Oryctolagus cuniculus: one gene and its partners. The protein of the gene in region 1 purifies or fractionates together with the protein of each later gene. This does not show direct contact. Links are inferred from orthologs where the notes say so. Each region holds a gene or a part of one and is shown in the gene's direction. Other genes may lie near its edges.

Region 1 (7,871 bases):
GGACCTCTGAAGACATATGTGCACCAAACACTGTTTGCAGGGAAAGTAAATCATGTATCATCTACAAACATGTTACAATATCATGTAGAGCAATCATATGTTATGTATGCATGTTAACTCATTTAAATCTTATAGCTACCATTGAGATCTTATTCTCCCCAGTTAACAGATGAAGAAGCTAGGTTTGGGGATAGATAACTTGCCCAAGTTTAAAAAGACAATATTCCAGGCCGGTGCCACGGCTCACATGGTTAATCCTCCGCCTGCGGCGCTGGCATCCAATATGGGTGCTGGTTTCTAGTCCCAGTTGCTCCTCTTCCAGTCCAGCTCTCTGCTGTGGCCCAGGAGGGCACTGGAGGATGGCCCAAGTGCTTGGACCCTGCACCTGCATGGGAGACCAGGAGGAGGCACCTGCCTCCTGGCTTCGGATTGGCACAGCACCAGCCGTGGCGGCCATTTGGGGAGTGAACCAATGGAAGGAAGACCTTTCTCTCTGTCTTTCTCTCTCTCAATGTCTATAACTCTACCTGCCAAAAAGAAAAAAAAAATGACAATATTCACATATGGCTGCACCCATGGCTCAAACAGTGTTATCTTCCCCTGTCTGTTTCTCCACTCTGCTGTCCTCTGTGATGGCTTTGCTCTTGGGAGGAGTTGGGCCCTTTGTCTGCAAAGACAGGTGTAATTCCAATGTGACACTGCCAGAGAGAGCAGACATTTCAGAAAAAACCTTGGGACATGGGTCAAGGAAAAGGAGACTGACCAACCAAGGTCATGTGCACATCTTGGGGTGGGGGTATTAAACCAATAACCTGATCCCAACAGAATCACATGGAATAGAGGAGGCTCATCCCAAAAGTACAATGAGAGGGAGGTTCTGTTACCAGAAGCCAAGGGAGTGAGATAAGCCAAGGGAGTATCAGAGATGGAAGCCAGATTGAAATAACCCTTTAGCCTCAACTCCTAGCAGTCGTTCATGCGTTTCTAGACACATGACCCTCCTCCAGGGCACCTCCCAAGTTCTCCTTTCTGCTCCCACAGCAAACTGCAGAAGCCTTTATTATTGCTCAAATGGTAACATGAGACTTATTTCTCCATCTGGAGTATTTCTGGTGGACTCCTGGTCCATATACGAGATATTTTGTGACATGTGCACTGTGAGTATACATTTGTGGCATTTCCCTCCTGCCCACCTCCGGCCCACTCCTAGGACCATACTCTTATGCAGTTTCACAAGGGCCTGTTGAGCCAGATGAGAAGAGATAGACAAGCCTTTGGACTCTTTGGCAAGGCTGAAGGCCTAGGAAGGAAGGGAAGACCAAGAGACAGAGACTCCATGGGCCGGCGCCGTGGCTCACTTGGTTAATCCTCCGCCTGTGGCGCCGGCATCCCATATGGGTGCCGGTTCTAGTCCCGGTTGCTCCTCTTCCAGTCCAGCTCTCTGTTGTAGCCCGGGAGAGTAATGGAGGATGGCCCAAGTGCTTGGGCCCTGCACCCACATGGGAGACCAGGAGGAAGCACCTGGCTCCAGCTGTAGTGGCCATTTGGGGAGTGATCCAACGGAAGGAAGACCTTTCTCTCTGTCTCTCTCTCTCTCTCACTGTCTATGACTTCACCTGTCAAAAAAAAAAAAAAAGAGAGAGAGAGACAGAGACAGAGACAGAGACTCCTGAACAGCAGATAAGAGATTAGTCCGAGGAGCTCCCCATAGCACCCGAGGATGGCGGCTGTGCACAAAGCACAGAAGGACATAATGTGCTCGATTTGGGGCAGGGCGTCCTGTGCCAAGCCACCAGTGCTCTTTGCTGTGCCAGTTATGATGAGAAACATTATCCTTATGCCACAGTAACTGGATTTCCCTAGAAAATTCCTACTTCCCACTCTGTTTAAAATGAGTTTAACACCAAGTGAATAATTAGTCTCTATGGCCTTATTTTAAAACCACAGTGCTCAACCATTAACTACACTGAACGCCCACAGCCCCATCAGAGCCGGGGAGGTTCTCACGCCTGGAGAGGATCACCCAGAGGCAGCCCGCATACTGTCCCAGCCCCAACTCCAGCCGTCGGTCTTACAAACGGAAGTAGGCCCTGGGACCCCAACCTTTCTGGAGATTTGAGGGACGCAGTCCTTCCTGGAGACGCAAGGGAACACATGACCCCTGGCCAAGGCCAGTGGAACTTGGTTCCAAGAACTGGGCTGTTTCCCCAGCCACCGCTCCGTGCCCTCAAAGCACTTGCACATGGCGGCTCCCCCCAACACCCACACCCACTCAGGCCCCGGGCTTCCATTTGGCCAAGGCCTGCAAGCAAGTGCCCAGAGCCCACAGCCCCTGCCAAGACGCCTGCCCGGCCCTTCAACTGGCTGTGGTCACTACTCAGGACATTTTGTTCTGAATCCACTTGGAAGTGTATGTACCTGCTAGGTGGAAAGCAAACAGCCGCGAAGGGGCTAGAAGCGACGAAGCAAACAGCGCCCCGGAGGCCCTCTAGGCGCTCCCGCGCCCCAAGGTGTGCTCATGTTTTCCTGGCAGGGAGGCAAAGGTGGGGCCAGCGTCCTTGGGACCACTCACAAGGGGGCGACAGTCCGCTGAGGGAGGCGAAACAGCAGCCCCTACGTCAGGCAGACGGCGCCGAGGGCTGGAACCTAGAAGCCAGGAGACAGCCCGCCCGACGCCAATGTACACCAGGAGACACCCTGCCCTCTCATGCACTCCTTGGGGCGAGCGCTGGGCGAGGGCGAGCCTTTGGTCCCGCCCCGCTGCTCCTCGGGGCCCTGCGATTGGCTCCGCAGGCCGAGGGGGCGTGGCCACACGCCAGCCGGCGTGATGGCGTCAGGCGCCGCGGGCGCCGTTTCCTGTTGTCGGTGGCCCGGAGAGCGCATCGTCGACTTGGGGCTGAGGGGCGCCTGCGGCCGAGAATGCCCCCAGCTCCTCTGCCCGCTCCTCTGGGTGAGTGAGGGTTCCAGGAGCGAGGAGGGCAGCGCAGGGGCGGCGGGGCCGAGACGCGCACGGGGGGTGGGCCTTCCGCCCTTTCTTGATTGCACAGCACCGGTTGCCTTGAGACTGTCCGGCTTCGGAGCCCTCACCCGTTCTCGCCCGCACCCCACGCTCTGCCACTGCCGGCCCGTCTCCCCCATCTGCTCCCACCCGTGACCCGACTTCTGCCTTACCCGTCGCCTCGCCGCGGGTCTTGAGTAAATACAGCTGCTCTCGTGACCCCACGTTAGACCCCTGCCATCTCGCGTCTGGGCCACATCCCCGCCCCTCCGCTAACGCCCTCAACCTTGCCTCTCAACCCCCGTGGCGACCCGAAAGGTCCGCGCAGACCTCCCCCAAACCCACCCTTCTGGTTTCCCCATCGCTGGCTCAACTTTCTTATCAGCCTCCCACAGCCCCTGCCCAGCTCCCCAGAATCTGCCCCCTTCTCATTTAGGACCCATCACCAAAGTAAGGCGCCTTGTTGAGCGCACCGCTTTCTTAGCGACTGATGCAGCCTTCTCCCGAGTCTCGGGTGTATCTGCCTTCCAGCCCCGCACATTCTTCCTTTCCATCTGCTACCGCCTGAGCACACCGCATCCCTGGTTTGCTAAACTGCCCCCAGCTCCTGCAGCCTGAGTTCCTACCACCCTTCCCCACTCTTACTAAGAATGAGCTCTCCGTAGCCTGTCGCTTCTGCTGTCCCCGCTGCCACCCTTCACCGCAGCGTGGGGCCCGTTCTTCCCTCGATCCAGCTTCCATTCAGCTTAAGTCCCGTTAGTGCAGAGCCAACCGCCGGCTGCCCTCCAGCTGCCAGATCTGGGTATTTGCTGGGAGCCAGGCAGTTGGAAACCTGGCAGCTTGAGTGGGCAGGTGGGGCTCAGGTGGTAAATACATGTGGAGGGGGAGGAATCTCTTTATCCTCTACGCCACACTCTTGGGTGGGGGTTTTGCTTGGTGCCAGCACCCAAGTACCTGTCCCTGGCGATTGCATTTCTGACATCCATATTAAATTAATTGTGCCAGCTAATGGAATAGGAGTTGTCATCCAAATGTCTGGAAGGTGAGAGATGGCCACTCAGCCTGGGGCACTTCCTTCTGGCTGGTGTCCTGGTCCTGAAGAATCTCAGGGAGTAGCACTGTGTGGCATTGACTGTGGTCACAGCCATGTCCATGTGCGTCATCCTGGAATTTGTGGAGGACCCACTCCCAGTGCTGCTCCTCGCCAGAGCTGGTGCAAGTCCATCCCAGTGCTGAGCGCAAGGACCCGTGGGTCCCCAGACACCTCATGGTTGTGAAAGTACAAGCGAGTGGATCCTGAAGAGGCTGAGGCGTGGGTGGGCACAGAGGATGTTGAATTGCTTCCTCTTTTGAAGGTGTCGGAGCTTTGGCCGTTTGGCTTCCATGCACACGGAGCCGATTATTCCTAGAGCAGTGAGGCACGAGGACCTTCCTGAGGCACCGATTCCCATGCTCAGTATATGTAGTCTTGGGGGAGAGGGTTTGGTGCACAGTTCCTCAAACTTCTAATGCCCCGGCCTCAGACGTGTTGGCCACTTGACAGCAATTTTACAGGACCTCAAGAGAACCCCTTGTCTGTGTTTGCCATTTATACTCTTGCTTCTTTGAAAATCAAATGCTGTTCAACTTTCAATATATTTTTTAAAATGATTTATTTTATTTATTTGAAAGAGAGAGGTTTTTTTTTTTAAAGATTTTATTTATTTATTCGGAAGTCAGAGAGTTACACAGAGAAGAGAGGCAGAGAGAGAGAGGTCTTCCATCCAATGGCTCACTTCCCCATTGGCCGCAATGGCCAGAGCTGCGCCGATCTGAAACCAGGAGCCAGGAGCTTCCTCCAGGTCTCCCACATGGCTGACAGGGGCCCAAGGACTTGGGCCATCTTCCACTGCTCTCCCAGGCCACAGCAGAGAGCTGGATGGGAAGAGGAGCAGCCGGGAGTAGAACTGGCACCCATATGGGATGCCAGTGCTTCAGGCCAGGGTGTTAACCCACTGTACCACAGTGCTGGCCCCAAGAGAGAGATTTTTTTTTTTTTAAGATTTATTTGTTTTTAAAAGCAGAGAGGCAGAGAGAGAGGTCTTCCATCTGCTGGTTCACTCCCCAGATGGCCACAAAGGCCAGAGCTGGGCCAATCTGAAGCCAGGTCTCCCAGATGGGTGTAGGGGCCCAAGGACTTGGTCCATCTTCTACTGCTTTCCCAGGCCATAGCAGGGAACTGGATCAGAAGCGGAATATCTGGAACTTGAACCAGCATCTATATGGGATGCCAGCACCACAGGCCACAGCTTTACCCTCTACACCACAGCACTGGCCCCAAGAGAGAGGTCTTCCATCTGCTGGGTCACTCCCACATGGCCGCAATGGCTGGAGCTGAGCCAATCCTTAGCCAGGAGCCAGGAGCTTCTCCCATGTGGGAGATCAAGGACCAGGGCCATCCTCTGCTGCTTTCCCAGGTGCATCAGCAGGGAGCTGGATGGGAAGTGGGGCAGCTGGGACCTGAACTGGCACCCATATGGGATGCCAGCACTGCAGGCCGGGGCCTTAACCTGTTGTACCCGAGCGCTGGCCCTCTACTTTCAATATCTTACCATTAAGGAGCAGTATATCTGAGTGGTTTCCACTTGATTGGCAGCCTGGTTTAATGGAAAGCATCCCACAAGGCCCACCTCTGAAGAGTTGGCACCTCAGTTTTCCGAGGTCTGTGAAGCGGAGATACCTGCCCTGTGCTTAGTTTTTATTTATTCATCAATTCATTCGAGTATTTTTTGAGCACCACTGTGTGTGCCACACACTGTTTACATACTGGAAACACGGTTGTGAACAAGTCAGGCAGTGTCTCCGTGTTCATTCATTCAGAGTTTACTCCTTGTTGGAATACTGTGGGATGTGGAACGGGAATACTGGGGAGCTGGATGTTGCTGGATGGAAGGAGGGAGGGAGGGAAGAAAGGCAGCCAGTGTTTCCAGCTTCACGGTTCTCACCCACTGTTCCTTCGGAAATCACAAGCTAAGAGTTCTCTCATATTTGAAGCAGTTGTTTCAAAGGTCCGCACCTTCCCACCTCTCATCCCACCCCTTCCAGAACACTTGTCCAGAAATCCAGCTTTGTGCAGTTGGAAGGGGGTACTGTTTCCTCATTCAGCGCTCACATGCCTGAAGGATCAGCTGCCTTTCTGAATCAGAAGATATCTTTGTCATTCTTTTCCAACTGAAAATGCATGACTCATCCATTGGTACCGCAGCTGGATGGCTTTAAACACCAGGCTGTTGTTCCGAGCAGCCAGGTTCATGGTTCAGGCAGCGGAGGAAAGACTTTTGGGAGTTGGCTGACAAGTCTCTAAAGAGAGGTTGCTGTTTACTGGTGGTTAAATGTTTTGAGAGCGGTGAAGCCAGGGGTTATCCATTTCTTCTTTCAATGTAAGTCTCATCTAAACTGTTCTCTTTTTTCTTTCTTCCTTGGTCTCTGGAGGAAGTAAAATTGGACATCCTATATACAAAGAGACAAGAATTATAATGAAGAAAAACAACGAGGACAATTCCTAGTGTTCTGACTGCGTAAGAAAGGGCAGCTCTAAAACCTGGGGACCATGGCAGGACCTGGGCTCAGCCGACTGGGGCTATAAATCTGATCGGTCAAGCCTGTTTCCTGTTGGTCTTAGGCCTTATTGATAAAATGGAGCTTTTGAGTACCTTGGAAGAATCTGTAAGTAGTAGCTTGCCTGAAACTTTTCAAGCCAAAAACCAAAGAGACAGATCAGTCGGGCAAAAGGCACAGGGGTTAGAATGTGGGAACCAGAGAATTCTGTGTGTTATCTGAGGCCCGTTTCTCTTGAGCCTCAGCTTTCTCCTCCGTGAAACAGGGATGATCCTCCTGTCACAGGATTGCTGTAGAAATTAAAGTTAGAGAATGAGCTCAGAGCAGCTTGCTTTGTTTACTCTGGAAAACTGTGTAAGGGTGAATCAACACTCGGAGGTGGCAGGAGACAGTGTGTTATTTCCTAAATGACAAAAACTACCTCCTTACCCCTACAAAACTTTCACCAACACTGTTTGAAAAACCCCTTGGTAGCATCGCCCAAGTTCTCTCTGTATTCCCTTCCGCATGGTTCTTGAAACCATGCCTCTCTTTGGTTTGGTTTTTGGTATCAAGAAATAGTGTTTTGAGGACAGGAGGTGATACCAGTTCCATCTGATAGTAAACCGGGGCCTGGGCCACCCAGGTGGATAATGGAACCCGGACCAAACAGTCAGGAGCCCCAGAGCCTCCTTCCAGTCCCCCAGGTAGGTGCTTAGGTCCCTGGTGGACAAACTCCTGTCTCCTGAAGCTCTGGGGTAGGTGTGAATAGGCCAAAGAAAGGTGCGTCCTGAGTCGTGGCCTGCATGGGTGGTGACGTCTTGGTCTGGTTTTGCGAATTGTCGGGTTCTCTTGGAATTACTGCTCTGCTTGGAGCTGTTTTCAGTCATTTTGTGGTTTTTCTCACACTTTGTTTGAGGTGACAGTTACTTGTCTCTTGTCTGGCCCTGCCCTGCCCTCTCTTAGCTTCAGCCTACTTTGTTTTTGTTTTTGTTTTTCATCAGTTACTTGGCCAGAGTACCCACTCATTAATAGCCCTCTCCTAATGAATACTTTATTGTGCTCAGCTAATTAGTTAATGAGACCGTAAAGGACTTAGGCTATTATTTATATCATTGAAGTCTAGCCCTTACTTAGGGTCCAGACCTTGAAGCTGGCAGCTGGGGAGTTGGAGGGCTCTGTCTAGAAGGGCATTCCTTAGGCTGCTGGAATTGCAACTGGCATGGCCGCCCAGCATCTTAGAGGCAGAGGAGCTGAGCTTTGCCTGCTGGGCTGTACCTGGGCAACCTTGAAAGAG
Region 2 (7,963 bases), on another chromosome or scaffold:
TCTGTGAGATTAAAGGAAGCAATGACATCCTGATCTGTTCCTTGATCTTTGTGCACTGGAGCTGGCGAGAGGTGTCAGAACAAGGAGAGCATCTTACTGAAAACAATTTCATAGGATGAGAAAAATCTGCAAGCTTCTCATTTACAACATTGATGCCCCTGTCCCTCCCCAGCCCTGACATGGATGTTTATGCAACTTATCTATGTTGTTCCTGAACTTCCTGTGTTTCAGTTGTTTAATCTGTCAAACTAAAAAGTTTAACGCCTTCAAAAGGACTGTATCATCAACACCATGATGTGTAATCTCCAGGAGCAACTGCCTGTAATTTTTATTTATTTAGGGAGTTACATGGGTGATGGGGGAAATTGGTAATTATCTTTTGGTTTCCTGGGAAGTCAAGGTTACATCTTGCAGAGATTGTTTTGAGAAAAAGGGGCCCCTTCTGAGTTAAGGTGCCATGGTTGTATAAATAATTGAAAGAAAAAGAAACTGTTACAGTGTGATTCAGATCATATAAAAACAAAATCAAGTGCAATTTTGTTTACAAAATGGTGTATATTGAAGATTTTTCTATTTCAGATGTACTTTAAAGAGAAATATTTGCTTAACTCTTTTGACATCTGCTATTGTGACATATCCCATTGCTGGCAATGTGGTGCACACTCCGAGACTTTTAACTACTGTTTTGTAAGCCTCCAAGGGCAGTGTGGCAGAGTCCTGGGCAGTGCTTTGTTGGCCTTCGTGCTTTCCACTGTGTGTTGCATTAGCTGCAGAGCGGTGCTCCGTCTCACGTGCTAAGAGAGAGCATCTTGCCAGAGCACCTTCAGAAGAGGGAGCTGCAAGAAAGGAAACAGGTGCAGGGGGCTTCATTTCAGTGATTGTTGCCTGAAGTAGCGTGGCGCTCCTGGACTGCTGCTCCTTCCTCAGGGTTGCAGGCTTGACTGGTCCAGTATCTGGCGGTAGTTTAGAAGCTGTTTATAAGGGATGTCACACGGTGATGGGATTCACTTGAAGCACTATATTTCTGTTTTAATGGTTTTATCCAATTTGCCTTCCCAAGAGTTTTGTTCTACATAAGTTCATGCCACTTTTTAATATAAAAATTTTAACAAAAATTAATAGATTTTTCTCATTTTTTCCATACTCTCTCAAAAGAACCTTCTGTCTTCCATATTCTCTTGGGGACATTTTCTTTTCACGGCTTTTATTCTGGATTATCTTGCTTTCTGTTGAAACCAGTAAGTACACTGCCCACATGACCACTGTTCACTGGCTCCTGCTGTGGTGGAAGTGCTAACATGTATGTACCATTTCTCTATAGCTCTTTGGTGATTTTTTAAGAAGTCACCAAGGCAGTATCTCTAAGGAACAACAGTATGAGTAGCTGACTATATTTTTGTGCCAATAATACATTAGCAACAAGCTGGTGGTTTTGTCTTGTGTTGCTGTTGCACAGTAATAAGAGTTACAATGCAACAAGGCAGTTGATCAGTGTACTTTATAGGGCTTGATGTTGACTTGAGACTAGCAGAAAGCCCTATTATATAAAATAAGAGTGTATAGTTCAAATTTTAGACCCTGGGGTCTGCTAATTCCAGCTGTTGTTTACTGTTACTGGGACTGGAAATAGTTTTTTATTTCTTAGGACAGATCCAGAAGGAATTTGTAGTTTCACAGTGACCTATTTATTTTGGTGGTTTGCTTAGGCCTGGAACTAAAAGGTACTAGACCTTCTTCCAGCTCCGCTCTGGTAATTCTAAATTTTCAAGAAGGTGACCAACTTCTGTGGGAAAAATATCATAATATAAGGTTTGCTTAGCAATTTCTGTTTATTCTGGCTACTTGAAAATACTCTTTCATTGCCTTCAGAATAGCATTTGGTAAAGGTGGCACAAGGATCCCTACATTTATAATATAAAAACAAAATGACCAGGACCAGTTTTTTGTTTTGTTTTGTTTTTCACAGGCAGAGTTAGACAGTGAGAGAGACAGAGAGAAAGGTCTTCCTTCCATTTGTTCACCCCCCAAATGCTGCTAACGCTGGCACTGCGCTTCCTCCTGGTCTCCCATGTAGGTACAGGGCCCAAGGACCCGGGATATCCTCCACTGCACTCCCGGGCCACAGCCCTGCAGGCGCAGGATTAGCTAAGTGAGCTGAGGCTCCGGCCTGTTTTAACATATACTATAATCAGCCTTTTCTTTAACATTTTTGCTTTCAACTCAAATGCTAGTCTTGAGATATATGTTTTTGTAGGGACAATTACCAAATACAAAAATTCTTGCAGCTCAGATTTAGCTTTTTTGTTTTTCAAGTCTCCAGGGTGAATACTAAGGTAACCTCAGACAGTACAGAACCATTAGGATGGAAGAGCCGTGTCACTGCTTCCTAAAAGGAATATTAAGATTTAAGATTCAGCTTGTTAGACTTAATTGGTAGGAATGTATTTACCAATTTAAAAAGAGCTTTATTTTTCTATCTTCCAAGACACCAACCTCTGGCTGCATGTTAGAAATGCTCCTTTGAGGGCCCTGTGCTGAGTCAAAATCTGCATTATAAGAGTGTCTCCAGGTGATCTGTGTGTGCATTAAATTTGAGAAGCACTAGCCTGTTCAAGGTGGTCACTGACGGGACATTGGGCAATCAGACATCTTTGTTTCTGTGTCTGGGCAGCAGGGCAGTGGCATCTGTCCGCTGAGTAGTTCAGGGATGCTGCTAAGCATCCTAGCATTGCCAACAGAGACCTCTCCCCGCCCCCATTATCCTGCCCTCAGTGTCAACAGTGCTACAGGTCTACAGTTGAGAAACCAGCCTGGAAAGGTAAAGCTTGTGTGCAGACTCACCTTGGGGATTTGGCTAAAACACACACCGCTGTTCCCCTCCATAAATTGATTCAGTAGAGCTACAGTGAGGCCCGAGACTTCATCACAGGTGATGCTGTTGCTTCTGGTCCGGAGCCCCACACTTTGAGAACCTGGGGATCCAAGGATTAACTCTCCTAAGGTACAGCTGAATTTTCTAAATGCCAGATCTCCATCCCAAGTCTGACGCTAAAGTACGAATACTTAACCGCCACGTTCATTGCCTAAGACAGAGCTAAGATTCAAATTTCTTCTTCCTTTCAAGCCCTTAGCTACTTTAGGCACCACCACGGAGAAACTAGGTCCAGGGCGAAGATAGGAACCTGGGCGCCAGCAAATTCCTTGAGGGGACTTTGGGAGCCAGGACGGAAGGGGCGGGACCTAGACTGCGGAAGGGGCGGGCGCAGCCGGCAGGAAGTCCGGGCTTGACGATGGCTGTGTTGCTGAAGGCCCTGTAGTGGGGGGTCCTGGGCCGAATCTCGGTCTACCCCTAACCCGGCCTCGTTCAGGCCACAAGCCTGCGGGACGCAGGGCGAGACGAGGGCGGCGCTTGTCTGCTCGCCGCCATGCACGACGCTTTCGAGCCGGTGCCGATTCTGGAAAAGCTGCCTCTGCAGATCGACTGTCTGGCTGCCTGGGGTGAGCCGAGGGGCGGCGGGGTCGAGGCCAGGTCAGGGCGGGAGCAGCTGGGACCTTTAGCTAGGCTGGGCAAGTGGACAGGCATCTGGCTGTATGCACTCTGGTCGGATGCTCCCCGAGAAGGACCTGGATGACGGAGGGCGGAGGGATGACCGCCGGCCGTAGACAGCGATGTCCCTGGGGCTGCTTGGGCGATCCCTAGCGACCTAGGCATTTTAGGGACGTGCCGCTTCCGTTTGCTCTGTGCGTAGTTAGAGGCTGAGCTTTCCTTATTAATTGTGCTCAGTTTGGGCCCGTGTTGTTTCCCAAGCAGTCTTTTGCGTAGAGGACAACAAAGTGGGAAAATTTCAGTCTGCCAGGGACTTGAACTTGTCCAAAGGATTGTGTTGTTTTCTAGGTGAAAGACAGCACTGGTCTTTAGACATGGAACAAGTTAACGCTATGCACTTTTTTCCCCCTTAGTGATCACTCATACATCTACTTCTCATTTTTGTAGGTGGCTCACATAGTACTCTAAGCTTTTAACCTAGCCAGGTAGTTGATTGCTTTGTATTCAAAGTGTCCAGGTTGTCTAACTCTGTAGGTAGAAGAGCATCATACCAGACTGCATGACACCTAACCCATAAGCATTATCATAATCCTCTTGGAATTGGCTAGTGCAGAAGGCATGGTCAGGCATCTCTTGTGTGCTCTGGGATACAAATGAAAGTTGCAGAGGTCCAAACCTTGACTATTAGCTGGGAGTGGTTGTGTCTGATAACAGCCAACAAAGAAATAATTTCAGTCTGTCCCACTAGTGTTCAGGTCCTGGAAACTAAGGACCACAAAAAGTGGCTCATAACTTTAAGCAGATCTTATCCTGAACTAGGTGCCCCTGATGGCGGTGTGGAATCTTAGTGGTGGCTGGCATCCTGCACACTCTGTTGACAGTGCTGTTCACTCGTCTGTGCAGAGTTCTTCCTGGCCTTTGCAGTGGGATTCCCTTCCTCCCTTCCATTTTGCACACCCCCACCCCCCAATGCATGGAGTTCATTTGTTACAATCTTCATGTAGATGTGGGCCCCTCTAAAATCACACCTCCCTACTGAGCTCTCTTGGGCCTTTGGATTAAGAAATAATCCTACTTCCTCCAGACATCTCAAGAAAACCTCCATTTCCTGCTGTGAATTGGTCTCAGTAAAAATTAAAAATGGAGCAAATAAAGAAATTAACAAAATGAAGGACCTGAGACTCTACAGAGGGCTTCATTCCCTGATTGCTCCCTCAAGTCTGTATTAGGTGCCTGCATGGTCCCCTTCCCTCTGCTGGGGACGGGAATACAAGGAGGAATGAGCATGCCCCTGCTTGTAGGACACACAGTGGGGGACAAGACCCAGGAACAGATGAGGATACAAGAGAAGTGACAGTGGAGGCATGTGCTGCCTGTTACTGTAACACGGTCAAGGGCGCCCAGCTCAGCTGAGCACAGATGCTTCTGACCAGGGCGGACACCACTGCCTGCCATGCTTGACCTGGCACATCTGAGTCATTGACTGTGGTCCCTGCACATCTCTTAGACTCGCTCACCAACTCCGCTTGCATAATGAAGATTCCTGTGCCTGTGCTTTTCAGGAACACGATTTTGAAGTGCCAGGCTTTCGGCCTGCCTCGGTTACTTACCAAGCCACAGAAATGCTCTTTGCCTCCTTGGGCGCTGTGAAAGATCCTGAGCTGCAGGAAGCCATGTACTGCCTCCTGCCTCCAACTACTTTGTTTTCATTCTTTCACAGCAAGAATCACTGCTCTTTCTAGTCATTGTGCCTTTTATTTGCATGTGTCCCTAGCTGGAAAGTGCATCCAGGAGCCAGATGACACAGGGCAGACAGCATTTGAGCAGGAAGGTATCTTAGAGGCAGCACAGGCCTTCCCCTGGGAAATGGAAATGAGGAGGACTCCACTCCAGCAAACCGTGATGTTCCCCTGCATCCCGCAACCCAGCAGCTGGCCAGAAGCCTTGGCACAGTGTTGACTTTTCTCATCCTCGCACTCTGCATCCTTTCTATCAGCAAATCTTGTCTGTCATACCACCAGATTAAATCTGAAATCCAGTCATTTCTCTTCATCTGAGCGATTACTACTCATCTGTTTGAAAGGCAGAATCACATACAGAAGGAAAGAGAGAAAAAAAATATTGAGTAGTCTGCCATGCACTGGTTCACTCTCCAAAAGCCCATAATAGCTGAGGCTGGGTCAGGCCAAAGCCAGGAGCCTAGAATTCTGTCTGGCTCTGTCTGCCATACGGGTGCAGGGGCCCAAGCACTTGAGTTATCATTTGCTGCACTTCAGGATACATTGGCAGAAAGCTGGATCAGAAGTAGAGCTGGCACTCCAATATGGTGTGCAGCTTAATCCATTTGCACCACAGTGTCTGCCCCACTTATTAACTACTCTTGACACCATCATTTCTCTTTGTTTGCCTTTGTTCCATTTTAGTTGTTTTTGTTCATGGAGGTAGAATGGACCTTTGAAAACCTCAATCTGATCATACCTGCCTTTTGCTCAAACCCTCCAGTGGCATCACATCACATCTAGAATAAGTTCCCAAGTCCTTATGCTTGTTGGCAACGCCCAACACGATTAGCTTCTGGTCACTTCCTGACTTTATTTCCTGTACACCTCCCTCTTGCTTCTTTCTGGTACCAGTCTCACCATTTTCCTATTTTTTTTTTTTTTTAAGATTTATTTAATTTGTTTAAAAGGCAGTTACAGAGAGAGGGAGAAACAGAGAAAGAATCTTCCATCTGCTGGTTTACTCCCCAAATGGCTTCAATGGCTGGAGCTGGGCCAGGCCAGTGCCAAGAGCCAGGAGCTTCTTCCTGGTCTCACGTGGGTACAGGGGCCCAAGGACTTGGGCTGTCCTCCTCTGCTTCCCCAGGCCCATTAGCAGGGAGCTGGATTGGAAGTAGAGCAGCCAATATTCGAACCAGCACACATGTGGGATGCAGGCACTGTAGGGCATGGCTTTAACCCACTGTGCCAGAGCACCAGCCCCTATAAATTTAATTGTTATGGTTTCTCTTCACATAAGTAAGTTCCTTGGCCTGGTAGTCAAGACGCTGCTTGGGAGGCCAGTGTTGTGGCGTAGTGTGTTAAGCTGCTGCTTGCAACGTTGGCATCCCAAATCAGGTGCATCTTGAGTCCTGGCTGCTCTGCTTCCAATCCAGCTCCCTGCTGGTGCTCCTTGGAAAGCAGCAAGAGATGTCCCAATTATTTGAATCCCTGCCACCCAAGTGGGAAACCAAAATGGAATTCCTGGCTCCTGGCTTCAGCCTGGCCCATCCCCAACTGTTGTGGCCATTTGGGGAGTGAACCAGCAGTTTCTTCTTCTTCCTCTATCTGTGTCTCCCTCTCTCTCTGGTACTCTGCCTTTCAAATAAATGATATAAATCTTTTCCCAAAAAAAGACAATTGCTTGGGGCCTCTGCATTCTATATTAGACTGCCTGGGTTAAAGAGTCCCAGCTCTGTTTCCAATTCGAGCTTCTGGCTAATGCCAGTCCTTGGAAGTGCAAGTAATTAGGTCCCTGCCATCCATATGGGAGACCTGAATTAAGTTCCTGGCTCCTGGCTTTGGCCTGTCCCATCCTGGGGCATTTGGGGAGTGAGTGAACCAGCGAATGGGAGATTTGTCTAAGCTAGCTCTCTCTCTCTCTCTCTCTCTCTCTCTTTTTTTTTTTTTTTTTTTTTGTTTTCTCTTTCTACCTTTTGAATAAAGTAAATAAAAATTTAAAAAAGTAAGTTCCTTCAGAGCAAGAATTTTGTTTGGTATATTTACAAATTTAGCTGTATCTACATTTCCTGAAAAAGTTCCTGATTCAGTGGGTATTCATTAAATCTTTGATAAATTAATAATGATATTAATAGTAATGTCTTCTATTAACTGAGTAATGGTCTTTATTAGTCTTTTATGAAGTTAATAACACCCCCATTTTACAAGGGAAGAACCTGATCATAGAGAATTTAAGAGATTTTTCCAAAATCAGTATCCAGCAAGTGATGTCTGATTCCAGAGCCTGGTTGTCAGATTTAATGTGTGTGTGGAGCCTGTGAAACATGCAGATTCTGTGTGTGTGTGTGTGTGTGTGTGTGTGTGTGTGTGTAGAATACATAATATATTTCTATTTTCCAAAGAAACTGTGGAGAGATAAACGAGCAGTCACTAAAATGATCTCCATGGTGGAATGGAGAGGGAGTGTGGAACACACTGATGGTAGCTAGACTTATATGAATTGTGTCAGTGTTTCATGTAATTAAGGAAGGAAAGGAAAGGGGAAATGCAGCATACTGCCACAGGGTCTTGAACCAGAATCTCCGGGTGCGGGTCTCAGCCACATGCATTTTCAGTAAGTCCAAGTGGCCCGGATGCAGATAATCAAGGGTGGGCTTTGAGAGACACTCCTCACCTTGGGACTCAAAGGTGAGAGATG
Region 3 (7,196 bases), on another chromosome or scaffold:
AAATTAATAAGCCTGGAGTTCTCAAATCACAGAGCAGATGCTGAGCTCATGTGCATCTCTGCTTCAGGCCAACAGCTACATCGAGGACTGCATTGCCCAGAAGCACCCGTTGGTCAAGGTGTTAAGGCTGGTTTGCCTGCAGTCCGTGTGCAATAGTGGACTCAAACAGAAAGTTCTGGATTATTACAAACGAGAAATTCTCCAGGTCAGTGTAAATTATTAACTTGCCAAGAGGAAAGCACTTTTTAAAAAATAAAGGTGCTTAAAAATAAAAATACTTCACAAAACGGCTCTAATGTTGCATTGTTACCACCGCCTTTAATTCTTGTCATACTAGAGTAACTGTTCTGACGTCTGTTCTTGTTCTGCATGTCAGTAAAGTGGCAAACCTTTACTGAGCATTTACTGCATGTCAGGTCTTTTGGAAGAGGTTTGCACGTGTACATTTGTTTATCCTCACGACATCCCTACAAGTTAGATACTGTCACTGTCCCCATTTTATGGATGAAAAAACTGAGGCACAGACTTGTGAAGTCATCCACAGTCACCCAACTCATAAATAAAAGACTCAGGCAACTTGGGTCTAGTGCTGTGCTCTTGACAGCGTGGTCCTAAGCTGGAGAAAGGGAGCTGTTTACAAATTTTTGTAACAGTTCCGTAGCAGGCTGACTTATACTAAGTCTGTTTTACTTCATAATGGGGAAAGCCCACCATTATTTACAAAATGTCTCTTCTGTTTGAAGCTATCAGAGACAGTGTTTAAGCGCGTTATTTTTTTTAAAGATTTATGTATTTATTTGAAAGACAGATATACAGAGAGCAGAGGCTGTGGGGGGAGAGGTCCTGCATCTACTGGTTCACTCCCCAAAAGGCCCCAATAGCCGGAGCTGGGCCAATTCGAAGCGAGGAGCCAGGAGCTTCTTCCAAGTCTCCTACATGGGTGCAGGCCAAGCACTTGGGCCATTCTCTGTTGCTGGCTAGGAAGTAGCACAGCTGGGGCGCGAACTGGCACCAGGTGGGGTGCCGGCACTGCAGGTGGTGACTACCTGCTTCACCACAGTGCCTTCCCTGAGTACATTATTATTAAAATTAAAAATTTGTTTTTATTTTTACCGTTTTCCAAGTTTACATAAGGTGCGTCAAACAATGCAGAAGCACCTGGAGCAAAATGGGACCATCTCTGTACTCTGCGACACCCCGTCTCGCTCCCCAGATGTCACCAGCGTCAGCCACTTCCAGACTCCCTTGTTTGCAGACACCCAAGTGGGACTGGCTGAGTCCAGGCCCAGCTCTGCTCTTCATGAGCTGTGAGCTGGGTGGCGTGCGTGAAAGGGACCTGACAGTGCTGCCCACTCGTGGGGTCGTGGCGCAGATGGCAGAGTGAACTGAGTGAAGCGCTCGATCAGAGCAGTGCCCCGCTCCTAGACAGTATTCTTTTCTTCACGTTCTTTGTTTATTTTATTTTATTTTTTGACAGGCAGAGTGGACAATGAGAGAGAGAGAGACAGAGAGAGAGGTCTTCCTTTTGCCGTTGGTTCACCCTCCAATGGCCGCCGCGGCCAGCGCACCGCACTGATCCGAAGCCAGGAGCCAGGTACTTCTCCTGGTCTCCCATGGGGTGCAGGACCCAAGCACTTGGGCCATCCTCCACTGCACTCCCTGGCCACAGCAGAGAGCTGGGCTGGAAGAGGGGCAACTGGGACTAGAACCTGGTGTACCGGCGCCACAGGTGGAGGATTAGCCAAGTGGGCCGCGGCGCTGGCCTGTTTATTTTCTTTTGAAAGAGAGAAAGTAACAGACATTCTGACATTTGGAAAGAGCTCTTCCAGCAGCTGGTTTGCTTCCTCAAATGACTGCAGCAGCCGGGGCTGGGCCGAGCTAGGTCCAGGAGGCAGAAACTGCACCTGGGCCTCCAGCCTGTGTGGCAGGGGCCCAGGTGTTGGAGCCGCCATCTGGGTATGCATCAGCAGGGAACTGGAACTTGAACGCTAGTAGTCCCATGTGGGATGAGGCTGTCCCAAGCGCATCTTAACCGCTGCGCCAAGCGCCTGTCCCTTGTAGAAAGTGGTGGCTGCTGTTACGTTTTTTAACAGATACAAAATCCAACTATACATGATATTACCTCTTTTTTGTTCTTAAGACTATATCTAGGGCTGGCGCCGCGGCTCACTAGGCTAATGCTCTGCCTAGCGGCGCTGGCACACCGGGTTCTAGTCCCGGTCGGGGCGCCGGATTCTGTCCCGGTTGCCCCTCTTTCAGGCCAGCTCTCTGCTGTGGCCCGGGAGTGCAGTGGAGGATGGCCCAAGTGCTTGGGCCCTGCACCCCATGGGAGACCAGGAGAAGCACCTGGCTCCTGCCATCGGATCAGTGCGGTGCGCCAGCTGCAGTGTCCATTGGAGGGTGAACCAACGGCAAAGGAAGACCTTTCTCTCCCTACTCTCCCTCACTGTCCACTCTGCCTGTCAAAAAAAAAAAAAAAAGACTATATCTAGAAGTCTTTCCTATCAGGAAGTGTAGGTCTGCCTTATTTATTTTTGAACTAATTATACCCCGTGTATAAATATGCTGTAATTTACTTGATGCTATTTTAATACTTTGAAAGTGTTAAATCACTCTGCAGCCGTGAGCTGTGTTCACAGTAATGGGCAAGCATGTTAGGACAAGTTTCATCCTTTGCCCTGTCTGCTGTGTGCACTGGCGGTTATGGCTGGACTTCAGTAGTTACTAGTTATTTTTGGAATACAAACGGATTTGTCAGAGGTGCCCTTTGTGCAGGGCTGGCGCTGTGGCATAGCAGGTAAAGCCACCACCCGTGATGCTGGCATCACATACAAACGCTGGCTTTCGAGTCCCAGCTCCTCCATTTCCGATCCAGCTCCCTGCTAATGGCCTGGGAAAGCAGTAGGAGGTGGCCCAAGTGCCTGAGCCCCTGCACCCATGTGGGAGACCCAGAAGAAACTCCTGGCTCCTGAGGCTTCAAACTGGCACAGCTCTGGCCATTGTAGGGAATGAACCAGTGGATGGAAGATCTCATTCTCTCTCTCTCTTCTTTTCTCTCTAACTCTGACTTTCAAATAAATAAAAAAAATTAAAAACAAACAAAAATTGCAGAAATGCTTTTCCTGATCTGACATCAAGGCCAAACGGAATGTTTTGTAGACTTACGGCTACGAGCACATCCTGACCTTGCACAACCTGGAAAAGGCCGGCCTGCTGAGACCGCAGACGGGAGGCAGGAACAACTACCCGACCATCCGGAAGACGCTGCGCCTCTGGATGGATGACGTCAATGAGCAAGTAAGGCAGCTCTCTGTTATCTGACTCCCTGTGACATCTGCCTTATTTTCTACAAAGAACTTCCTGACGTTTTGCAAAAGGCGTGTGTTCACGTGTTGTGTTCATCAGAATCCCAGCAGGCAGGAGAATGTCCTCAGAGTGGGTGTCTTGAGGAGAACTGAACGTAGACATGGTCAGGGTGGGACTACGGCCGGTGTAGTGGAGAGCCCTCGCCAGCGCAGGCCCGAAGGGCAGGGAGGTGTTCCCGAGCCTCTGCTGGAACTGGAGAGGAGCAGTGTAGAGTCAGCAGGCAGAACCAGGGATGAGGAGCCACTGGTCAGGGCACCCCGCTGCCTCCGCAGGGTCAGAGAGGAAGCCCAGAGCCTAGGAAGGGGCGAGTATAGCCTGCAGGTGCCTTCTGGGCCCAGAGCCTGGGAAGGGGCGAGTACAGCCTGCAGGTGCCTGCTGGGCCCAGAGCCTGGGAAGGGGCGAGTACAGCCTGCAGGTGCCTGCTGGGCCCAGAGCCTGGGAAGGGGCGAGTACAGCCTGCAGGTGCCTGCTGGGCCCAGAGCCTGGGAAGATGGTGGATGTCCAGCTCCCGTCCACAGTCAAGCAAGGTAGCTTGAGTAAGGCGAGGCAGGCAGCTTTTGAAAAGTCCGTTTCCTGCCACAGTGAACCCTGGTTTTGGGAGCCAACCACTGTAGCCAGTTTTCAATCTCTTTCCAGAAAGGTGGTGTACATATACAAACATTTTTACACAAATGGTGCACGTTTCTAGATTTCTTTTTCTTTCTTTTTGGTTTGTCATAAAGGAAATAAAGGTTCATAACTTGACAGTCGCCTCTTTCAATAGCAAAATTAAATTTTTTCTCCCTGAAAGTGGTAGTACCCTTACTTTCTGTTTCATTATGTCCATAATAAATGAGGGAGCTTCAAGAACTTCACAGAAGGCTGGACATGTAGCCTAGTAGTTAAGACGCCTGTTAAAACCTGTGTCTTGGCCGGCGCTGCGGCACACTAGGCTAATCCTCCGCCTTGCGGTGCCGGCACGCCGGGTTCTAGTCCCAGTCGGGGCGCCGGATTCTGTCCCGGTTGCCCCGCTTCCAGGCCAGCTCTCTGCTGTGGCCCGGGAGTGCAGTGGAGGATGGCCCAAGTGCTTGGGCCCTGCACCCCATGGGAGACCAGGTTAAGCACCTGGCTCCTGCCTGCCATCGGATCAGCGCGGTGCGCCGGCCGCAGCGCGCTGGCCGTGGCAGCCATTGGAAGGTGAACCAAGGGCAAAGGAAGACCTTTCTCTCTGTCTCTCTCTCTCACTGTCCACTTTACCTGTCGAAAAAAAAAAATTAAAAAAAAAAAAAAAACAACAACAAACCTGTGTCTCACATTGTTGGTCCTGGGTTTACTACCTGGCTCTGGGTCTTGACTCCAGCTCCTACGAATGCCAACCCTGCAAGGCAGCAGTGATGGCTGAGATAGTTGGGTCCTGGCACCTGTGTGGGAGACCTGGGTTGAGTTCCCAACTTGAGCTTTGGCCAGTCCTAGCCAGCACTGGGAGCATTTGGGGGAATGAGCCAGTAGATGAGAGCGCTCTCAGAGTACGTCTGTCTCCCTCTCACTTTCTCTCTCTCTCTTCCTCTTGAATAAGTAAAATTCGTGGAAAATACATATGAAAAAACTGCATGGGTTTCAGTTTTTTACTGCCCCAAAATGAACTTGTTGAATTTCCTTTTCTTTCTGTTTCCTACTTATTTATAAGAGGCAGAGTTACAGAGAGGCAGAGGCAGAGAGAGAGCAAGTTCCATTCGCTGGTGCACTCCCCTAATGACCACACTGGCCAGGGCTGAGTCAGGCCCAAGCCAGGAGCCAGGAGCTGCTTCTGGGTGCAGGGGCTCGAGTGCTTGGGCCATCTTCTGCTGCGGGATTTCCCAGGCACATTAGCAGGGAGCAGGGTCAGAGGTGGAGCAGCCGGACTTGAACCAGTGCCTGTATGGGATGCTGGTGCTGCAGGCAGCAGCTTTTCCTGCTATATCACAGCGCTGGCCCCAGATTTCATTTTCCACCAACTTTTTGAAGTCCCTTCTTGCTGGTTTGGGTTGTGTTACTGTCCCGGAGGGGACAATGGTTCCCGGAGCAAGTTGGTGGGTTCTTTTCCTCAGCTTAGTATAGAATTAAAAAGCTGGGAAACGCTTTGTGAAAAAGCAGAGACTTTATTTTTGTTTTGCAAAGTGGCAGTGAAGCACCTCGTCTGAGAGGAGAGCAGATGCACGCCTGCGCAGGACTCTGGGTCTCGGGAAGTGCCGGGGTCTCAAAGGCTTTACTGTCTTTTCGTTGGGTGTTTATGGAGGTGCCCCGTGGACGGGGTTTCTCACTGTGTATGCTGATTGGCCTGGGGCCATGGAGACAGTGGGAGTCTCTTGGAGACAGCCTGGCTCCTCTTGGGTGGGCTCAGCCCCTTCTGCGAATTCTGGGTGGAAAATTGCGACTAGCTTGAAGATGTGGTTAGAAGCACCGGCTCACACCTACGGGACAGGATGCTGCGGTGGGGAGGATGCCCGCCTCCCAGCCTCGGCATGCGCCTGCTGCCCACATCTGCCAGGGGCTCACAGACCCAGCCCCGCTGGACGGCCTCCGGTTGTCTTCAACTTCCCCACCGCTTACGGGGTCTTGAAGATTTCCTGTGGTCTCCCCCTTCTCCTCCTTATTTCTTTGTAGTTGCTGGCTACTTAGTAGTTTTGAGGATATAGCTTAGGATTTAGCAGATAGAGGTTGAGGTTGTGTCCAGCCTTTTGCCATTCCATACAGTGTTTCAGTTCCTGCGCTTTCACTCTGTCCACTGTCTTAGGGCCTACAAACACTTCTGTAGGAGAAAAGCCCAAAGTACCCTAAAAGTACAGTGCTGGGTTCAAAGGTCGTGCATGATGTTACTTGGGGAGAGTGCGCTCAGTTACCCCCAGGGAATTTCTTGTCAAGCAGAATGGCAAGTTCTCCTGTGCGGAACCTGGGGCTGACTGCCCGGCTTCGGAGTCGAAAGGGAAGCTCTGGCTGCCAAGAACCGCGCAGCTGGAGTGGAGCGAATCGGAGCAAGCACAGGGTGCGTGTGCGTGTGTGTGCGTGTGCGTGTACGTGTGTGTAGAGGGGGACAGGCTTTGTATCTCTGCCTTCAAATACAAATCAAATAATTCTGGACTGCCCAAACAGCCGCAGTTCGTAGTCTACGTCTCCGAGTCTCCGAGCTTCCGTTTGTTTCTTTAACAGAACCCTACTGATATATCCTACGTGTACAGTGGTTACGCGCCGCTCAGCGTGCGGCTGGCCCAGCTGCTGTCGCGGCCCGGCTGGCGCAGCATCGAGGAGGTCCTCCGCATCCTCCCGGGGCCCCACTTCGAGGAGCGGCAGCCCCTGCCCACAGGGCTGCAGAAGAAACGTGAGTGGCGGCCAGGTGTGGCGCGGTGGGTGTGTCGTGCAGTTGCTGCGTCACGTGCTTGGGACCAGGACCGCTCTCGTGGTCGTTAAGTGCGAGAACCACGTCACTCCCTCGGGAGCAGCAGCCCCCGCCTCTGCGTGGAGGAACCCGCAGTTAGGAAAAGCCTGGAGCTGCAGATCGGTGTGTGTGAGGTTCAAACGCAGCGTCTTCCAAGACGCATCTGCCTTTTCATCCATGTGGAGGACAAAATGGTTTTGTTTAAGATTTATTTATTTACTTTGAAAGAGTTACACAGAGAGGGAGAGACAGAGAGAGAGAGAGATCTTCCATCCACTGGTTCTCACCTCAGATAACCACAAAGGGCAGCACTGGGCCAGGCCAAAGCCGTTTGCCAGGAGCTTCATCCAGGTCTCCCCCTTGGGTGGCACAAACCCAGGCAGTAGGACCATCTTCCACTGCTTTCCCAGGTGCGTTAGCAGGGACCAGGATCAGAAGC
Region 4 (7,196 bases), on another chromosome or scaffold:
TATATTTGTTTTTAAATCTTTCAACAATATGCAACATCCAGATGAATCATCAGTTATTCCTGAGTTTAAAATGTTTTTAAATTTTTTCAGTATTTGTGGGCCTTCTGAATGCTCTCTTGGAATTATGGTATAATTTTTTAAAATCATGGTTATTTAGTTCCTCAACCCTCTGACTTGTACTGTGCTAGTCCCATAAATTTATTCTTCCCCAAGAGGCCCTCAACAAACTTCTTACGGCGTTTACCAGGCTGTTCCTCAAGGATTTTCTCAGTCCTGTGGCCCTCTTTACCCGGATGACTACGTAACCCAGATCTCTCTTTGGAATTGTGTGTGATGGCTACTTCTCTTTGTTTATACTGCTGATAATGACAGCTAAATGTAACTCTACTTCCTTCCAAAATTTGTCCTCCTTTCAGTCTGTGTTTATCACACACAGTAAACCCATTCCCCCATGCTCGACAGCTCAAAGCCACTGTTCTTGAGAACATCTTACCTCTTGTTCTATTTCATATTCCACCTCGTTGCCATGTCAGCCCCACTGGGCTCTGCCCTTCCACTCCTGTATCAGCCTGAGCTGTTGGAAGGGCCTTCAGAAAGATCTGTGACTTCCCTAGTACCTATGGCTTCCCTCTTCCCATAGAATAAAATTGGGATTGCTTGCACGGCCCCACATCTCTTTCCTGTCCAGCCTCATCTCCCTTCAGTGACCCCTGTCTCACGTCTGTCGGGCCTCCATAGCACAGATGCACATCCTTGGCTGCACTCCTTTGCTACTGTTTTTCCCCTGCCAGATGTCCTTCTCTTGCTTTGCCTCACAGACCCCAGCCTCAGTGGGCACGGTTCTCCCCTGCTGCCACAGTCCTGTTACCGCCTTTCCTGCAGCACTCAGCATAGATTGGCACAGTTACCTGTGCAGATGTCTGCCTGTGGAATTCTGAGCTGGTGGGCGATAATGACCCTCGTTCATGTCCCAAGCCCAAAGCACGACCATGGTGTGTAGGGGGCACTCTAGGGTAACTGAATAGTACTGAAATATTTAACTTCTAACACAACACTGAAAATACTGTACTAGGAATACAAGAGGTATTTTTCCTAAATTCAGAAGACGACTGTGAGTTTTAAAGGTGAATATATTTCAGTTTCTGAAGAAAGGTGATCAGATGACCTATACTCCTTGATTACCTAAGAAGTTGACTTTTATAATCTCTGTGACATTCTCTCTCTTATTATTTAGATTTTCATTAATTCCTCAGTAAGACCAGAGAAATAAAGGTTCACTTTGTTAATTTTTAAATTAGAAATGTACATTTATATCTTGTGCATAATTATGATATAGGTTCATTTCACTGCTTTTTGAAGGTTTTTTCTTTTTTCTCCCTTTCCCTTAGGCTATCAGTCCTTATTTGCCAAGAGGGGATCCAGTTCTGAAGCCACTCATCTACGAAATGATCTTACATGAATTCTTGGAAAGTGATTATGAGGTGTGGCATTCTGCTGTGGACATACTGACTTGTTCTCAATGGGAAGTTTAAGACATGTAGAAAGCAGAGGCAGGCAGTTCGCCTCGCGGTTAAAATGCCAGTTAGGCCACCCACAACCCCGGCCTCAGCTTTGACAGAACTCTGGGAAACGCTTTCATTGCTGGTTGTTTATTAAAGAATGTTACAGATGATACAGATGGAGAGATGCGCAGGGCAAGACATATGGGAAGGGGCTCAGGGCTTCCATGTTCTCTCTACAAAACCTGTCCTTTAGCCGGCGCCGCGGCTCACTAGGCTAATCCTCTGCCTAGCGGTGCCGGCACACCGGGTTCTAGTCCCGGTTGGGGCGCCGGATTCTGTCCCGGTTGCCCCTCTTCCAGGCCAACTCTCTGCTGTGGCCAGGGAGTGCAGTGGAGGATGGCCCATGTGCCTGGGCCCTACACCCCATGCTAGACCAGGAAAAGCACCTGGCTCCTGGCTCCTGCCATCGGATCAGCGCGGTGTGCCGGCCGCAGCGCGCCGGCCGCGGCAGCCATTGGAGGGTGAACCAACGGCAAAGGAAGACCTTTCTCTCTGTCTCTCTCTCTCACTGTCCACTCTGCCTGTCAAAAAATAAAATAAAAAAACCTGTCCTTTGATTTGTATGTTAGCTTGATTACTTAGGCATGATTGATTGACCTATTAGTCACTGGGGGATCTTTTCAGCCTTTAGCCGCTGTCCCTTCTCCAGAGGTTGAGGGGTGGAAAATCCCACCCACCTAATCCTGCTTTCATCTTCCAGAGCCCCAGCCCCCATTCAGCCCACTACCTGCACAAGTCACTGTGGAAACTCCAAGGATTATTATAAAAGTTGTGTGTGCTGGGAGGAGCCAATTTTTATTTCATAAAGTCTGATTTGAAGAGCGTCTTTCTCTGCTTTCTCCCTCTAAATAGGGTTTTGCCACGTTGATCCGAGAATGGCCTGGAGATCTGTATAACAATTCGGTAATAGTTCAAGCAGTCCGGGACCACCTGAAGAAAGATAGTCAGAACAAGACTTTACTGAAAACCCTGGCCGAACTGTGAGTACATTCTAGGACTTCTTTCTCTAAGTCGGTCTTCATTGTAAACTTTTGTATTCTGGAGATTGGGCAAACTCTGAATGAGGAAGATGCCACTTATATTATTTTTCTACCTTTACTAAGAACTTTTCATAAATCTCAAATAACAGTTAGAAGGCAAGGACAGTGTGTGGAACTATGCAGCTGTGTTGTCAGAGGGAGGAAGTACCCCAGCCCTCAGCACTGGGAAGAGGCAGCATTGGGCAACAGAAGGGCAGCTGGGTTTTAGATCAGGCAAGCAAAACAGTCTGCCAGTGAGCAAGGCTCTGGATTCTGTTATCCTTAGAACTTAGTCAGTTAACCTCTCGAGCATCAGCTCGTATCTGTACATTACAGGTTTTTTCGTGAGATCGTTTTAAGCATTGAGTGAGATGCTGTACTAGAGCACCGAGTGTGGTACCCAACTTTCTGGCCTCAGAATGGAAGCTTGGTTGCTATTTTCCGTATCTGTTGTGCACTCTTCTGGTGCAGGAAGCCTTGTGCCAGATGCCTGGGAGGCAGAGATAGATGATACACACTCATGCCGTCAGGGAGCCTCAGGCTAGGGCAGGAAGAGGGACACTGTGGGTCCATCCCAGAAGTCATCCTGTTGGCTCTTCCTCAGCACCCCACCCCCCTCAGGGGCCCCATCTTCTTACTGCTTTCGCCCAAAACTAACAGATGTTGACCAGAATGGCCTAGAATTCAGGACTGCCTCGGGTTTTCAGCAGAGGGGGTGTGTTTCCCGCATTCTCACTCAGAACACCTATCATCTTCCTTTGGAAAGCTTGTTCTAGATGTCCCTTAGATTTGGCACTACTGTTAATAAAGAACTAGCAATACAGTTCCTGTTTAGCTGGCATTCGGAAGCTGACTTAGGAACTTAACATGAAAAATCTAAAGGGAAAGAACGCATTTCAATTCTGTAGAACCCACTTACACATAGGCTTTTGGAAGATAACCCATTTTTCAGCTCAACGCTTAGGAATTTTGCTGATTTTTCTCTTACTAAATTGAGAATTTTTCATACTGGTTCATAATTTATTTTTCTGGTATACAGATTTCTATAATACTTTTGAGATTGAACATTCCCCCCCATAAAAAATTTTATTACTTGAATATTACAAATTTTCTGAGATTGTGGTGAAATGAAAGACAAGGTTCTGAGAATGAGATACCTACTGGTCATGTGTAGTTTATTCCCAAGGAATTTTTTTTGCAATAAATTTTTCCCCTCTGAATAAATGTTTTAATTTTTAATATTATGCAACATGATCTGCATATGTATGTTTTAATTAGAGCTAGTGAAGACTATTAATTTCAAAACTTTTGCGTTACCAGGTACACCTATGACAAAAACTATGGCAATGCTCTGGAAATATACCTTACATTAAGGCATAAAGATGTCTTCCAGTTGATCCACAAGCATAATCTTTTCAGTTCCATCAAGGATAAAATAGTTTTATTAATGGATTTTGATTCAGAGGTAATATATTTCTTATTTGTGCTGGATAAACTAGCTGTATTATTGTAAATTTGTACTAGTTAGATATCTGTCCAAATGCTGGATTGGTGAAAGAGTCAGGTAGCCTTGCCATCTGCTGATCATGCTGGAAGCACTCTACCAGGTGTAGATGTTGTTATTTTAATAGCTTGCATTCATAAATCCTTTCCTTGATGTGGTTATTCTGCAAAAGAAAATGTAATTTGATAAGAAACTTAAAGGGGTGAGTGTGTGTGTGTGTTTGTAAAACTCATGTAATTCATAGAAACAAATAAACCAGGCATATGCTCTGGCTCACTTAACATTTTAATCTCGGTTCAGAAGTTAAAATTGTAAATACACTTCTATTTTGATCCACTTACTGCTGTTTGATTCTTGAGCTCTCACGGATCTCGCAGGAGCAGCTTCACTGGTTTCAGCTGAGACTCAGGTCTAGGACATGCAGAATGTGTTATTTTATTGCTGGGCAGATGTGAGTAGTGACTCACTTGACTAATGAGGGGACTCAGCCTCCACAGCTCATAGTGGCTTTGTAAATGACACACACCGTGTATGCACACGTACACACTCACCAGTTCATAAAAAGGAATCTAATTGTAAGTATTGGTGACAGAAATAACAAGACTGAAAAAGAAAAAAAAACAGAGTTCTTTATTCAGAAAATTGAAATTTTAGGTAAATCAAAAAGTAGAACCCTAAGGGCTGCATGCATTTTTAATGATGTTTTACTGCATTAGCGCTATTACGTGTTATATTAATCTCCACAAACAAACTTTTTAGATAGGAGCTAGATCTACCTTTCTCTAAAAGATGCGGTAGCCTCCTTTTTTTATGATTCACGTCCTTAGAGGCGCAGATCCACCAAGCAGCAGGGGGTTCCAAGGAAGCTCAGGTACAAAGGCTCTGCTTCTCTGACAGAGAATAATTAAGAAAATGAGATGCCTAAATAAAAATTAATTGCATTTTCCCCACATCCAGGCTCTCCTCATGCCCATCCTCTTTCCCTCATGTGTCTTGAGAGCCTAGTTTTGCACACGTAGCCGTAGAAAAACAATGAATTGACCAAAACACATTTGTTATTCAGGAACGTGAACCAAAATTAAGGAATCATAGAGATTTCTGATTGGAAGAGAACTTAGGGATAATCTATCCCAGCATCCTTATATTTCAGAGAATGAAAATAAGGTTTGGAGAAGCCAGCTAGGTAGTAGTGAAGTCAAGAACAGGACCCAAGGATGGCTATTTGGCTTAACAATTAAGATGCCAATAGATTCAAGTCCCAGCTCTACTTCCAATTCCAGCTTCCTACTAATGCACACCCTGGGAGGCAGCAGTGATGGCTCAAGTAATTTGATCCTTGACCCACAGGGGAGACCTGAATTGAGTTCCTAGCCCCTGGCATTAGTGTGCCCTTGTCCCAGCTCTTAAGGACATTACCAACGGATGGTGGCTTTATCTATGTCCACCTCTCACACAAGTGAAATAAATTAACTTAGAAAAAAAGAAACAGGGTTCAGCAACTCTGTATAAGCCTCAGGCTGGTGGGCTGTCTTCCTGCTACTTCTTGTAAGCTTTCTAATTTACGTTTCATTAATGTTAAGGGTGGCCAACGTAAATTCTAAAAGTCAGTAACCTTATATCTTTGTGACACTAAAGGTGTATTATTGTTTTTCTGGCTCTTTCAAATATTTTCTGCCTAAGACCAGTTCCTTATTATGTCTGTAGGCACTCATAGGGAGACTTAGTCAAGGTTCCAGTAGTCACAAGTAACGCTCATCTTTGTGGTTCTGGAATGAGATGTTTTCCATTAACTACCAAGAGTTGCATAAGAACTTATAGTGATGTCTTTGACATGAAGAGGGCTAAAATATGTGTAGCTGAGATTTTTTTTTTATATTTGGTGAGTTATAGCAAGACACTTTGCCAATAGTAGGCAAAGCACACAGGTTTCAGATTGAGACTTCTTGAAAATGCATTTTTTTACAAATGTCATTTTAAATAAGGGCCATTGAAAAGCAAAGGGCCTCCTGAAATACAGAAAATAATATTTAACCTTTAACTGAGATAGCATATGCCTTATATTAAGTTTAGTATTCCCATCTTGTACAGCGGATTTCAATGACCATGACTATTTCTGTTTCAGAAAGCTGTTGACATGCTTTTGGACAATGAAGACAAAATTTCAGTAAGTGTCTAGTTTATGCTGCTGATAATACCATAATCTGGGAGAGTTATAAAGAAGAGAAGTTTGTTTTGTCTGATAGTTCTTGAGGTTGGGGGCTGCATCTGATGACGGCCTTCTTGCAGGCAGAATCCCAAAGCAACACAGGGCATTACCTGGTGACAGGAAGCTTGTGTGAGAGGCAAGCAGCATGCATGCAGAAGAAAGAAGTGACATCCCAAGAGAGGAAGCGGGGGAGCAGGAGTTGCACTTCTGTAACTATCAAACCATAGCAATGTGTTACTGGTTACCAGTTGACTGTCCGGAACCACTTCAGCTACAAAGAGGAGAGATGTTTATCAGATAATTTATCAGCTGCACTTGTGTCCTCATAACTCTGTTCAAAATGTTCTTTTCTTTATAGATTAAAAAGGTAGTAGAAGAATTGGAAGACCGACCAGAACTGCAGCATGTGGTAAGCATGACAGTCTCTTGCCTTCTTAACTGAGTGGTGGGCAGATCACCTTTCAATACTGGAGCAAACATGCTGGAGTGAACTCTTTATGGAAGTTTTTTAATTCCTAAAATGGGGCATATGCTCTGAATCCAAGGCTAAAGGTTAAATGCAGATGAGACTTTTGAACTTTGACTTACAGTTGAATTGTGATATAGACTTCAATTCATTTTTGTGTCACTCTGTTACTGTGCCTAGGAGTAAGCACTTTCCCACTCTAGTCGCCATTGACTGGAGTCATGGCAGAAACCACTGCAAACTCTGAGGAGTACTGCACACGCTGCCGCCTTCTGCTGGGGAAACAGCACACAGCCTCGCTGTGTCCAGCACCACAGAGCAATCACAGCACAGCCTCAGCTTTCTTTCACCTTGATAATAGCCAGTCCCTCTTCTCTCGTGTGGTCTGTGCTGTTAAGACCTGTTGTTCTAGATTTCCTGGGGGAGTGCTACTTGGATT

The links.
Region 2: the proteins of PLEKHM1 (region 1) and VPS39 purify together in Homo sapiens (co-immunoprecipitation; 3 studies listed by BioGRID and IntAct, with this or other methods). This does not show direct contact. The link is inferred for Oryctolagus cuniculus from reciprocal best matches to the Homo sapiens genes PLEKHM1 and VPS39.
Region 3: the proteins of PLEKHM1 (region 1) and VPS33A purify together in Homo sapiens (affinity purification with western blotting; 3 studies listed by BioGRID and IntAct, with this or other methods). This does not show direct contact. The link is inferred for Oryctolagus cuniculus from reciprocal best matches to the Homo sapiens genes PLEKHM1 and VPS33A.
Region 4: the proteins of PLEKHM1 (region 1) and VPS41 purify together in Homo sapiens (affinity purification with western blotting; 4 studies listed by BioGRID and IntAct, with this or other methods). This does not show direct contact. The link is inferred for Oryctolagus cuniculus from reciprocal best matches to the Homo sapiens genes PLEKHM1 and VPS41.

What each region holds. Positions count from the first base shown.
Region 1 is NC_091448.1:18,646,490-18,654,360, reverse strand, and holds the start of PLEKHM1 (pleckstrin homology domain-containing family M member 1), read left to right. Parts: upstream 1-2,819; 5' UTR 2,820-2,827; coding exon 2,828-2,950; intron 2,951-5,073; exon of another isoform or gene 5,074-6,417; intron 6,418-6,474; exon of another isoform or gene 6,475-6,555; intron 6,556-7,871. UniProt on the Homo sapiens protein: Acts as a multivalent adapter protein that regulates Rab7-dependent and HOPS complex-dependent fusion events in the endolysosomal system and couples autophagic and the endocytic trafficking pathways.
Region 2 is NC_091443.1:65,247,152-65,255,114, reverse strand, and holds the start of VPS39 (vam6/Vps39-like protein), read left to right. Parts: upstream 1-3,253; 5' UTR 3,254-3,425; coding exon 3,426-3,498; intron 3,499-7,963. UniProt on the Homo sapiens protein: Regulator of TGF-beta/activin signaling, inhibiting SMAD3- and activating SMAD2-dependent transcription.
Region 3 is NC_091452.1:6,882,863-6,890,058, forward strand, and holds part of VPS33A (vacuolar protein sorting-associated protein 33A), read left to right. Parts: intron 1-67; coding exon 68-205; intron 206-3,159; coding exon 3,160-3,297; intron 3,298-6,531; coding exon 6,532-6,700; intron 6,701-7,196.
Region 4 is NC_091447.1:28,829,597-28,836,792, reverse strand, and holds part of VPS41 (vacuolar protein sorting-associated protein 41 homolog), read left to right. Parts: intron 1-1,388; coding exon 1,389-1,481; intron 1,482-2,414; coding exon 2,415-2,542; intron 2,543-3,901; coding exon 3,902-4,046; exon of another isoform or gene 4,047-4,248; intron 4,249-4,426; exon of another isoform or gene 4,427-4,496; intron 4,497-4,861; exon of another isoform or gene 4,862-4,975; intron 4,976-6,207; coding exon 6,208-6,249; intron 6,250-6,401; exon of another isoform or gene 6,402-6,562; intron 6,563-6,649; coding exon 6,650-6,700; intron 6,701-7,196. UniProt on the Homo sapiens protein: Plays a role in vesicle-mediated protein trafficking to lysosomal compartments including the endocytic membrane transport and autophagic pathways. Acts as a component of the HOPS endosomal tethering complex.